3 linked regions of the Schizosaccharomyces pombe genome follow. Changing the gene in region 1 together with any one later gene gives a genetic interaction. Each region holds a gene or a part of one and is shown on either strand. Other genes may lie near its edges.

What was found.
Region 2: mutations in ymc1 (region 1) and SPOM_SPBC365.16 together harm fitness more than expected from each alone (negative genetic interaction), as found in Schizosaccharomyces pombe (one large-scale study listed by BioGRID).
Region 3: mutations in ymc1 (region 1) and wwm3 together harm fitness more than expected from each alone (negative genetic interaction), as found in Schizosaccharomyces pombe (one large-scale study listed by BioGRID).

What each region holds. Positions count from the first base shown.
Region 1 is NC_003424.3:2,287,731-2,291,667, forward strand, and holds ymc1 (transporter Ymc1), read right to left. Parts: upstream 2,288-3,937; 5' UTR 2,257-2,287; coding exon 2,218-2,256; exon of another isoform or gene 1,817-2,217; coding exon 959-1,816; 3' UTR 626-958; downstream 1-625. Other genes in the region: SPOM_SPAC4G9.19 (DNAJB family protein), read left to right, coding at 1-459. UniProt on the Schizosaccharomyces pombe protein: Acts as a glutamate and glycine mitochondrial transmembrane transporter.
Region 2 is NC_003423.3:2,527,946-2,532,797, reverse strand, and holds SPOM_SPBC365.16 (uncharacterized protein), read right to left. Parts: upstream 3,132-4,852; 5' UTR 1,811-3,131; coding exon 977-1,810; 3' UTR 584-976; downstream 1-583.
Region 3 is NC_003423.3:200,708-204,265, reverse strand, and holds wwm3 (protein wwm3), read right to left. Parts: upstream 1,986-3,558; 5' UTR 1,731-1,985; coding exon 1,299-1,730; 3' UTR 643-1,298; downstream 1-642.

The sequences.
Region 1 (3,937 bases):
CCTACACATCCCTCGCCTCAAAATTGGTCTCAAGCGAGGTATCCTACCTATTCAAGATCTCGTCGTTCTGCTGGTATGGGGTCTTGGGAAGAATACTACTACAATTCCTATGATTATATGAATGACCAAAATGCTTCTAATAAAAACAGAAAATTTGACGATGAAGGCATGCTTGTTTTTGCAGGCATATTGTCTATCCTTGTCATCATCAACATCTACTCTAATTATCGGAATGGCAAATTTTATCGTGAGGCTCGATCAGCCGCAATCGGTCGTGCGGAAGACAATTTTGATTATTATAGTACAGGCATGGCCGATTTAAGCAAAGACGATAGGATTTCTCGTTTCCTTATCCTTCGAGAACAAAGCAAACAAATCCCTACTCAGCAAAAGCCTAGCTCTTTACCACCTCCCGAACGTGCCCTTCCAGCTCCCACTATGCCAACACCATCCTCTTAATACTTCTTTTATTAATACTTTCACTATTCTCATCTTCATTGTTATTGTTACGGATTCGTCACCCAGTGAAGATTTCACCTGCTTGACTATTTTATGAGTTTTATTATGTTAATGGAACATTGAATGACCTTTTTTTTTTTACTTATTATATCGTATTATTCGCAGAGTAAAGTAGTACATGAGTAATCAGTAGGGAAAAAGGAGGAATCGCATTGAGGGGGGGGTATATTTAAAATCTAAATCTCTTAAAATCAACTAATCTAATGAAATAGCCACAAAACAAAAAGCAAGTTAACTAACAGTGACCCAGTAGGGAAAAATTAAAACATATTAGTAGCACTTCTTGGTAAAAAGAAGGAAAAAATCAGGAATAAAACCAGCAATTAACAAACAAAGAAGCTCTACAAAGGGAGCAATAAAGAACTTTGATTATCCAATGTTAAAGACCTACGCTAAAATCTCAAAAAAGAGGAGAGAAAAACAGGAAAAGCTACAGTAATTAAAGATGCCTGATGTGTTGAGAAACAGTCTCGTATACATAAAATGTAACAGCATTGGCGGGAGCAGCACGAACTAATACGGGTACAAAGCCTCTATAAAAGCCTCGGAGGCCAGCTTTGGTGTAAATACCTTTGGCGCATTGCCAAGAATTTTTGTACGTGGCTTTACTTAAAAAGCCATCCGTTTGAATTTTGGATTTGACGATATCAAAGGGATATGCAGCTAGCCACATTGCATAACCAGCACCGGCGCCAAACACGCAAAGTTTCCAACCTGGGGTTTGTGATCGATCGGTCAAATGATGCTTGGCCATTGTGTTTTTCACCAGAGCTTCATAAGCCAAAAAATACATTCCAAGGCCATGAGCCTCACGAGCGGCAGTAGGGTTGTAACCCTTCATGATGCCACTAAGACCATATTGCGAAGAAATCTTTTTGATACAATCCCAAGGACCATGGTACAAAACATTTTTGCCCGTCTGGATTTGAAGGCGAATACGGACATGCTCTACGGGACCCACCAAAAAAGAATTCGCCAAGCCGGAAATAGCACCGGAAACATAATACTGAGGCATGGTCACGGGAGTACCGTCTCGAGAAAAGAAACGTTTACAATATTCAAAGGTGGTAAACTGAATGGAAACGCAAAATCCAATTCCCAAAAGTGGTAAAACGGTCCCTTTGTAAAAGGCGGCTAAACCCTCGTTTTTGGAAATTTTTTTTACACAATCGAGAGCATTGTTGTAGATGGGGGAAACATTACTCTGTGATTGCAAACGAACCTTGACACAATCAAATGGCTGTCCAACAAGGACCTGGGCGACGCCGCCAGACACACCTGCCAAGAAATCTTTAGTCTAAACAAGTTAGTAGAGGAAGGGGAAGATGAAGGAGATTCATAAATGCAGTGTTTTCATCATTTTGGAGGGAGCAAAACAAGAAAAAGTAAAAAGATACGAAAGAAAAAACTAGTATTGCCAATAAGTTTTTATCACCTTTTTCGTGCATTAGGGCATTAAACAGGAAACAAAAGAAAGGATTATGGAGAAGAAGAAGAAGGAAAAATATAATAAAAAAAAAAGAAACAAACAAACAAAAAAAAAGAAAAAATAAAGAATGAAAGAAACAAAAACCTGAAGAAAAGAAAGAATGAATAAAACTAAACCCCTTTCCCTAAAAAAATAATCAACGCTGCATTTTTTGTCGGATAAAAATCAAACTAAATGAAAAATATCCACTTCAACCACACTTTACATACCGATTGCGAAAGAGCGCCCTCTGGTATAACTGGTTCCATCTACAAACAAAGGCACTGCGGTGTTAAAGCCAAGTTGAAAATGGCGAACCTGCGAGCCTGAAAATTGCTTTTTCAACGGACATTTAGCTTAACGGTCGCGAAATCAAATTAGCGACTTGTTCACACACACTATATCCACTTATCACATCCACTTTACAGATTAGATAGCAAGTAGGCAGGCAAATAACAAAGTCGAATGCACAACGCAATTTCCGCATGGCAATTAGAAGCTAGTATAGTATAGTATAGTTTAGTTTAGTTTAGTTAGTATAGTATAGTTGTCTAGTATGGTAATGTCTGTCTCGTATAGCACAGTCTTTAATAAGACATAATTTAATAAAGTATACTGACTAGTGAGTTAAGTAATAAAGGCAAAATACCTGCCACACCGTCATTCAAGCGTAAACAAAGGAATAAGAAGAAACGATGAAAGACAGTGAAATGGTGTGGCAGTCGCCGGATGCAAGCAACAATCGGGATTGCGACAGAAGTTAACTAATTAAGGCAAAAGCCTAGACATGCATAGAAAAGCGTTTTTCGTCCACCATGTTTTGGGCAAAGCGAATAAGACGATAAGACAAGAGTAGGGCAAAGATGACACTGACCGATAATGCAGTTTTGATAATGAAGGCAGTACAAAGTGTAAGGTAGAAGGAATTCTAGAATTTTTTACATGAGCAGCAAGCGATAGGATCTTTGGTGGAAAATAATGTGAAAATAGGTGTAATTTGTGATTGTGAATGATTGTACAAACAATGATTGCAAGCATCCACTAGTAGTAATCATAGCCTGCTGATCTAGTACAGTGTAAAGAAAAGTACTTGATCAATTTTAGCCACATAAATTAATTTGCTTTCACAGTTTCATTTCTTTACAAATCTCACCCTTAGCTACTATTCTACTTTTCCATCTACAATAGCAAATACAAGTTGCATGTACTACACTAATCCATTCATACATTGTCTGAATGACACTTGTTGGCAATGACAAATTCGCAGTTAGTTCTATGCTGCTAATCTACGTAAACGCAATGCACAACGTGGATTGCGTTCCATGCATGCCCATACTGATAAATTAAGCTGCGAAGCGAAAAGGATGGCGAATGCCACTAGGCGGGTAGAAGCGAAAGCGAAATGAAAAGCGAATGCGACCCACTCAAAATCTCAAGATAAAACAAAACATACGCATACTGTCGGATGAAAAAGAAATGAATAGTTGCAGCCACCAAAGATTGAGCAATTGATCTTTGAAACCCACTCGACCCACTTTTCAACGGTCAATTGAATACTTCACTCTGGAAATCAAGTCATTGCACTCAATTTCCAAACTCTTTGTTCTTGCATAGGATGCATTCCATTTATCAGCAGCTATTTCATTCATTTTTTTCATTCGCATCCGCATTCGCATTCCTACTCAAATCTTTTCTCTTTTGCATTTCCATTCAATTCATCTCTTTTGTTTATTTACTGTTTTGCTCTTCTCTTTTGCCCTGCTCATTTCTTTCCAACCATAATCTGATAGCTTGTGTTGTTGTCAAACAGTCGCTTTGCCTCCTCTATGACTGCTTTGCCTAACGAGCGTATTATTAGCACATTGAGTCAATCAAGGTGACGTCGCCCGCACTCCGATATGCGTATGCCGCTTTTTGCCTCGATTATATAAGGCATCGGGAACCCCACCA
Region 2 (4,852 bases), on another chromosome or scaffold:
ACATATGTAGTAAGTATGGATGGAGAGATAAAAATGGGAATGGGAATGAGAGTATTTTTAGATAGAAATAGTGTGACGGCAATCGTACAATAGTTAATTTATTGTGGCAAGCCATCGCAATAACAAAATACCTCGGGAAGAGAATTAAGCGCAATACGAAATTATGGTAAATCGGCGATTCTACTAGTAGGTGTTTATTGTTTTACTAATTATAATGACGATCAGTAAAAAGTAGGTGAGCTTTGAAAAAACCGTTGCTATACACTTTAGGATTTATTTTGACGAACCAATTAATATGGCTACCGTAGTACGGTACATTTTGAACCATTCAGTAAGCTAGTAGATAGGAATAAGCTATCGTCTTTCTGGTCAACATTGGAATGCAAAAAGAAATAATCTCACTCTGTTTATCGGTTTTAGGTTTCTACCGAAAGCCCATTCAAAGACCGTAAAACACTATCGGCAAAAGCTGTTTGTAAACGAACGATAAAAGAATAAATTTGCTAAACAAGCGGTCTTTACGGTTGCTCGTTTTTTGACATACACAAATTTGATACTCAACCATACTAAACACAAACGAAAATGACTTAAAATAGAATTCAAATTTTATTTATTAATGTACAAAAGAAAACCATGTGTCTCTTTGCCTCTTTATTTTCTCTTGCAGTTTTTCTTTTTTCTTCAAATTCTTCTCCAGACAAAGAAAAAACTCAGACGCATAAAAATCAAGTAGAAAACTTTTTTAAGTGAAACCTTCATTACACATACACTATATAGTTCATTCAAAAAAGTATGCAGCTTCATGTTCCAGATAACAGGATGTATGCCACTTTCCTTATATAGGTTTAAACCGTAGTCCACACACTTTTTAGACACTATTCAGTAGTGAATAATAAAAAAATGATGAAAAATAATAATAATAAAATAATAATAATAATAATAGCCGAAAGAAAAAGGAAAGAACGTCATGTATGGACTAAGCAAGAGCAAATTGTTGTTTTTTCATAGTACGTTGTTGAAGCGAATCCAAATAAGTGGTTCGTAATTTACGATTAGTAACACCGCCAATACCAAAAGCCGGAAGAATCCTAACCATACGGGCGAATGTGCTTTTTAGTAAATGCTTACGAACTTGCATAACGCGGTTGGCTGCTGATATGTTAGGTCCACCTCTGTTATAAATGTCAAGGGACAGGAGATGAAGAGGTGTGCTAATAAACTGTACGGCACAGGGGGTGAGCAATTGAGCGGTGATTAAACCACCGGGGAGTAATGGAGCAATCATAGGAGGTATGTTGAAGGAAAAGGCGATGGTGAGTGCATCACGAAGTCCATAAAGACCGTAACAAGACCAAGGGAGAGGACGAGGAGAACCGGTGCCCCAAAATTTGGTAAAGAAACTATCCTTCAAGATGGATAAACCGCTGTTTGCAGCGGTGACAGAACAGAATTTAAACCAGCCGGAAGTTTCCGCCTTGAAGACGGGATTCTTGTGACGAATGTTATCCAGTGTGTCTATGGAATTGGCCGTCATATATGTGCCCGAGTATAATGTAAAGACCAGGGCAAAGGGAGCGCTAAAAAAGAAGGCGCCTGGCTTTGATAAAACATATTTGATGGAGCGACTAACAGAGCGTAATAAAGTAGAACGGCCACTAGTATTTTCGACGATTGAGCGGTCGATCGTCAAGATAAAGGGAGAAATCATGGCACTGGCGGCTGTAGCGGCAAATGCATCGATGCCGATCCGCTTCCAGGTATTGGAGGGAACGGGTTTGGGGGACAAAGGGGGTTGACTATTAAGAGCCATGTTAAAGTCAAAGAGTTTAAAAAAAAGATTAGAAAAGATAAAAAATAAGAATAAAAAAACCAGAAAAGATAAAAAAAATATTAAAAACTTTTTTGTGAAAATAATAAAACAAGCCAAGCAAAAGGTCTTTAGGTATCTATTTTTCTCTCTTTTTAAAGGTTTAATCTAATTTATACAACGTTAAAGCTGAAAAGAAAGAGACGATTGCGAAAAAAAAGCAAAGCCAAAAATAATTTTTCTTCAAATAAACTGCACTTCAACAAATGCAATGAAGGAAAAAATTTAAAACGTTAAACACGAATAGTATAGGCTAACGGGGCAGATAGTACAGGTGAGAGGAAATGTCACCAAAAAAAGACAATTAAAAAGATGCTGAGTAAAAATGAAAGACCGAGAAACGACGACAAGACCAATTGAACAACAAAAGTAGTAGTAGTAGTAGTAGCAACAAAAACAAGTAAAGAGAGGGAAACCAAGTAATTCACACTTTGGAAATGTATATATTCCTTTCTTTTCTTTTTCTAAGTAAAAAGATATATATTATATCAACAAAAAAAGGTAAACCCGAAATCCTAAAATTATTATAAATACAAAAAACCAATAATAACCACAAAGTCCAAGTTAAAGCAAAACCACTTGGATTGTAAGAAGGAAGATTGATGGTGGTTTAAAAAAAAATAAGACGATGATTGGGATTGTGAATAAAAAAATTCAATTCAATTTGATTCGTATCGTTAAAACTGCTTCGCTCAATCAAAACTAACAGTAACGTGAAGTAGGCGATATAGGGAAAAGACAGAACGATTTCCAAAATAAGAACGACAAGTGACTAAGCCGTTTCTATAGCAAACAAAGGCTAAGTTTACAAGGGTTGATCAATCAACGGGTGGAAATGAGGTATATCGATGCAATGATAAGACAACCTTGTCCAACAATCCAACTAGCCAATGAGAAAACAAAAGTCAGACAGCCCACCAAATAGCAGGTGAACGAGTAAAAAACAATTAAAACAAAGGGTTTGATTCCACGCTTTGAGAGAATTATCCCGTACGTTTGAGATGGGGAAAGGATGCGTAAAAAAAGCGGTGGTGGTACTGTGGTGGTTGTAGTAGCGGTAGGAATGGCAATATCAACAACACTCTTCAGTAACAAATAGTACTGGGCAAGCAGCAGTATGAGTATGGGATAGCAGTGAGTAAACAAGAGTGTCTAAGGACTTTAAAAGATATTGCTCGTAATAGTTGCTAGTTGTTCCCAGTTACGCTGGTTCCTATCCTTCTTCTCGTGTCGTAATTGGATCAAGTGCTTGAAGAGGCGAGCTGGAAGAGAAAAAAGAGCGAACGAAGCACGTTTTATATCAAGTTGGCATCAATTTTTAGTCTTAAAGATTCTGTGTTATCTTGCGTTAAACGGGTCAAGATAGGGTGATGATCCCCTTAATTAGCAAGACCGAACAACTTGGGACAACTTGGGATAACGGACTTTTGCAAGAAAATTAGGTGACCCAACCTGGTATCGAGGTAACAGCATCCGAGGTAAAACCGAATATGAGAACAAGTACCGACGAGCTTGAAGGGCGGCAGCGGGGCAAGCAAAAAGACAAGGTGGAAGATGCTGTGTTGAAGTATAGGAGGAAGTGAGATGAAGATTTTGTATTGAGATGTGTTGACGCTGTCTAATAAAGGAAGGTTGCTGACAAATAAGGCATGCTCTTGATTGTTTTATTTTTATTTTTTATTTATTTTTTTTTGTGGTTAATTGTTTTTTTTCTAACTCACTTACTCATCTAATCATTTTTTCTCTGGTCCTTTTTCTCTAGTTCCTTTTTTCCTCTAGTCCCTTTTCTCCTCTAGTCCTTCTTCTCTAGTGGTCTTCTCATCTTTCTAGTCTGGTATTTACTGTTTCACATGCAATAGTTCTAGTAGCGATGCAGCTATTCATTGCAAGCGACTATTCCTACAATGTAAACAGTGTAAACATTGTAGAGAGTCGCTGCTCAAAATCTTAGAAACGGCTAATACTCTTTTCTACTCTTGCTTTTTTGTTGATTTCTTTTCTATTGTTTTCTTTACTTTACTTTCTCTACTTTGCTTGTCATTGCTAGGTCTAGTCTTGTCGGGCGAAACAACCCAACAAGAGTAAATTTTCAGATGGTGACGTTGAAGACTGAGATCCTCGACATCAAGATTTGGGTGTGATAAACGAACGGACCCTTAGATGGATAGCGTATTCACACCCTAAACCCGAAACATAGGGTAGCGTTTTTAAGGCTGCCGAAAGGCGAGTCTACTATGGCCCCTACGGTGGATAAGATGGATAGTGAGTAAATCCAAAGGGTATTTGTCAAGCAAAAAAATAAATAAATAAAGCAATCAATAGGTGGTGTTGCATTCGCTAGTTTGCTTCATTTATTAATTATTACATTCATTAGTTTTTTATGTTCGTTAGATATTAAAAGATCATCAAACTCATCCTTCCTCTTATAACGTCTCTTTTTCTTTTTTGTTTACTCTTCACACTCTTGCATACTTTCATAATTTTTCCAACAAAACTTATCTTGTCAAAGCTCACCAAATTTTATCTACGAAATAATCTTTCTCTCTCTCTCTTCATTATCAGTTAGCTACATTCCATTTTCCTTCTGTCTCCCTACTTTCTCCCACCCCGATCATCCACCTATCCATCATCCTTCATCTACTACTGCTTACTATCCGTAATCTATAAGAAGTGTTGGCACTCACTAATCCTCTGAATTTACGGATACTGCTCTTGAACTCGTTATCGCTATGTTTCGAACGGCGACTCTCTTCCTAAACACTTTCTAGCAGGTGGTTTCGCGATCCCAATTGCTAAAACACTTTATTTCATTTTCCGTCCCCTGCTGCCAAGGAGAATTTCGGATCTAAATCGACGAGGAAGAAGAGGACGGTATTGCAAAATTTGAGAGATATTTACGTTTGTATGAAGTTTGAAGAAAAAAAAAAAAAAAAAGAGGATGAAAATTTTTCTAACATACAATCTTTCATCAAATCCTTAAACTTG
Region 3 (3,558 bases), on another chromosome or scaffold:
AGTGGTATTAACGTGTTTTTAAAAGTACTTCACTAATTATCGAAAGCTGTTCATGGAAAATAGACTGCCAATTTGTTTTATTCAAACTCAGAATATCAGGGTTTCACTAATGCTGCTTGACTTGAAACATAGCTAATTGAAAAAGGAAAATTGCTCTTATTACCCTTTTTAATCGCCGGCTTTGCTTAAAAACAAACGGTTTTGCATTGCTATGAAAACCCTCGACATTCATTTGATAATTGCCAGGTACAAATTTACGTATCCTTACTGAATAATCGTAATATGAACAAATAAATGTTGTACCGTAGATAATATTTCTTAATTTTGAAATATATTAACTTTTCTTATTTCATTATGTGTATCCAAGAGCCAAGTTATATTTCTCTTATTTTAAACAGCTTGATAAATACAGGTTTTAAACGATTCAAATGATATCTGTTTGTCTTTTAAAATAGTGGTATGACATCCCATAAGTGTAAAAAAAATTTTTTTTCTTTCTGCCTTAATTTTTTCGGAATTGTGCATTTAATCCAAAACCAAACAAATATCTGAGTTTGCCAATTATATAGTCAGTAATACACCACTATAAACTATTCAACTAAAATACCCAAAAAAAAAGGACAACTAGTAATGAAAAAACAATGATAATAATAAATGAAAGATATATAATTGACTATTTTAAATCATGCATAATAAACTAATTTAACGTCTGAAAAAACAACCATTGATTTTTTAAAAGTTTCAAAAATTGTGCTTCACCCAATTTTTTACAATTAACCAAAAAAAAATATAAATAAATAAGTAAATACACGTCGAAGTGATAAATGCCAAAAAAATGATTCCATCGACAACCAACTCCGTCGATATTCACACCCATTATAATATATGCTCCTTACTTCTTTGGTATTAAACAGAAATTTTATAAATTAGACCGTTTTCCTCGAAATCCCAATAAAGAATGCAATGGTACAATAAATAAGGAAGCTTGAAACAAGTAAAGATCAGATGATAACAAAATTAATATAAGTAAACAAGAAATTAGGTCAAAGAACGACTAACAGAATATAACAATTTTAGAACGATTAGCAAAAATAGTATGAAATTTCAAGGGAATAAAAAGAACTTCACTGGATATCGTGTTTTCCATTTAACAATTTCGAAAGAGTCGTATACGTGAATTTGGTGATTCTATTCAAAGGAGAAAGTGATGTTCTCAAAAAAAAAGAGCGATTCCATAATCAACGACCATAGTATGTAGGACGAAATCGGAACCAAATTTAAATAAAAATCAACGCTTTTCATCTGCGGCCACGTCCACCACGTCCACCCATGCGTCCACCACCGCGGCCGCCGAAACCACCGTGAGGACCATGAAGTGGGCCATGATGGCCACCACCGATTCTTGGACCAAACAAAGGGCCTCTGGGAGGAGGAGGGGCGTAGTAAGCACGGTGACCACGAAGAACACTGCCGGCTAAAGCTCCAACCATGAAACCTCCTAATCCAGCCGTCATAGACCGTGAGCCGTCAGAAGAGCGAGGCACGTCCTTTTGATAGACGACGGTAGTGGTACCGGGAGGAGGAGGAATATGCAAGCCTGGAATAGGAGGCTCCCACTGTGGTTGAGCACCTTCAAACGTTTCATTAATGTAAAAGTAAGCTTGATAAGTTGGATCCCATTGGGCGACCCAACCAGCTGGCAAGCCCTTGTAAGTTTGATAAACAGACATCTTTCGATAAAGTAATTAATGAGAAACTGTAACTTAGAAAAAAAGAAGTAGTGAGAAGTAGAGTATGTCTGTTAAGAATTATTAATAGACAGGCACAAATGTCAAAAGAAAAAAAGAATTAGCAGCGAAGTAGAAACGGTATGTATAACAAGAAAGAATTTATGATCTCGTTATAGTAAGAATGAAGAAAAGATTAGAATAACGAATGCTTTGAAAATGAAGCAAGTAAAAAAAATGATTGATTGAAATTAGATTGACGAAAAGGTGAGGAAAACTCGCAAATAAATAAAGCTTTGCATTAGGACATAGCCGACGGACAATACGTCACTTTTGTGGGGAAATGATGAGTTATTGCGTAGTTGTAGTGTGGAAGCGAGTGCGATTTGAACTCTTTTTCTTCCATCGGAATAGAAAACATATGAGCGGGGCCGAAAGCTGCCGCAATCTATTTTGCGATTGTGTACCCGATATCCTAACAGCAAAGCAGTGAATTGGAAGATGAATTTACTACAATATCTGTAGTGTCTTTTAGTTACATTCAGAAAAGAAATTGATACGAAAATGTGCACGCTAAAAGCTCAAACCCATGTATACTTATGATCTTCCAATTGTACAAATTATTGCTATTTTCGCTAGTCTATAGATCGATCAGCCATTGACGTCAGCGCTCGTTTAGTATTTGAAAACAAACGCCAAGTTAGGTGTTTGTTTATTAATGTGTTTCTTTGGGTATATGAGTGTATGAAAATTCGACTCAAGCTCCTGTTAACACTTGATCTTTCTTTTGAATCGCGAATAGCATTGACTCCGATATCTCGGTTCAATTTTTTTGAGTAAATAGTAAACGTACGTTTCATAAAACTAACTTTAACAAAAAATTATCTACTTAGTGAATTAGTTCTCACTTGGATAAATACTTGTTTTTGTCAAGCTTTTAGCATGGTCAATTGATATCAAAAGGAACTCACTCCAAAAAAAATCGACCCCACTTGGGTCCATGAACCTCTCTTGTCTTGCATCTCTCAAGGACTGGATGGATGTGGGGGTTCGGGGAATCAAGAGTTTTCAATGGAGTAAGTGCAATCAAATAAATCAAAGCGACAAAGGATTAGAGCGAGGAGACGAGAAAAGATGGAAATACAATGAGTAAATTCGTATTAAAATTGATATCGTTTTAACGAAGGAAAAGAGAAAGTTACTCTACGTAGGTTTGCAAAAAAAAAATATATAAATGTAGATGTAGATGTAAAATTAATGTTAATGAGAAATTTGAAATTAAGGAAGCATAAATAGTATGGAGACATTATAGTTAATATGGACGATGAGTTAAAAGGAATAATTGGTTTAAGTGAAGCTAAAGAAAAATAAAAATAAAAAAATAAAAAGATGTCATTTAATATTAAATTTAAAAAAGACAACACACACATAAGAACTATTCAATAAAATAAAATAAACACAGTACAATAAAATAAAATAAATAACGATCTAACGAAACAGGAAAAAAAAAAAAAAATAATATATTACAAACAAAAAACAATCTCAAAAAGCTATCTTATAATTTGAGTATCCTAACCATAATATTTATTAACTCATATGTAAGTTTATCTTGGTAGAAGCTTTACCTTTAAGAATTGACTTCATTCCTACTCGCATCGCATTTGTTGCTTCTATTTTAGAGATAAAAGCTCTTTTAATTGAACTTATGCTTTTACCAACACGGCACGTGAATCAAGTTAGAATAATAGTCTAAATGTCCACAAAGGGTGGTTTCTCGTTCTATGAATAAATATAGTAGTAGCTTAGTGAAAATTCCACGGGACATTAGTTT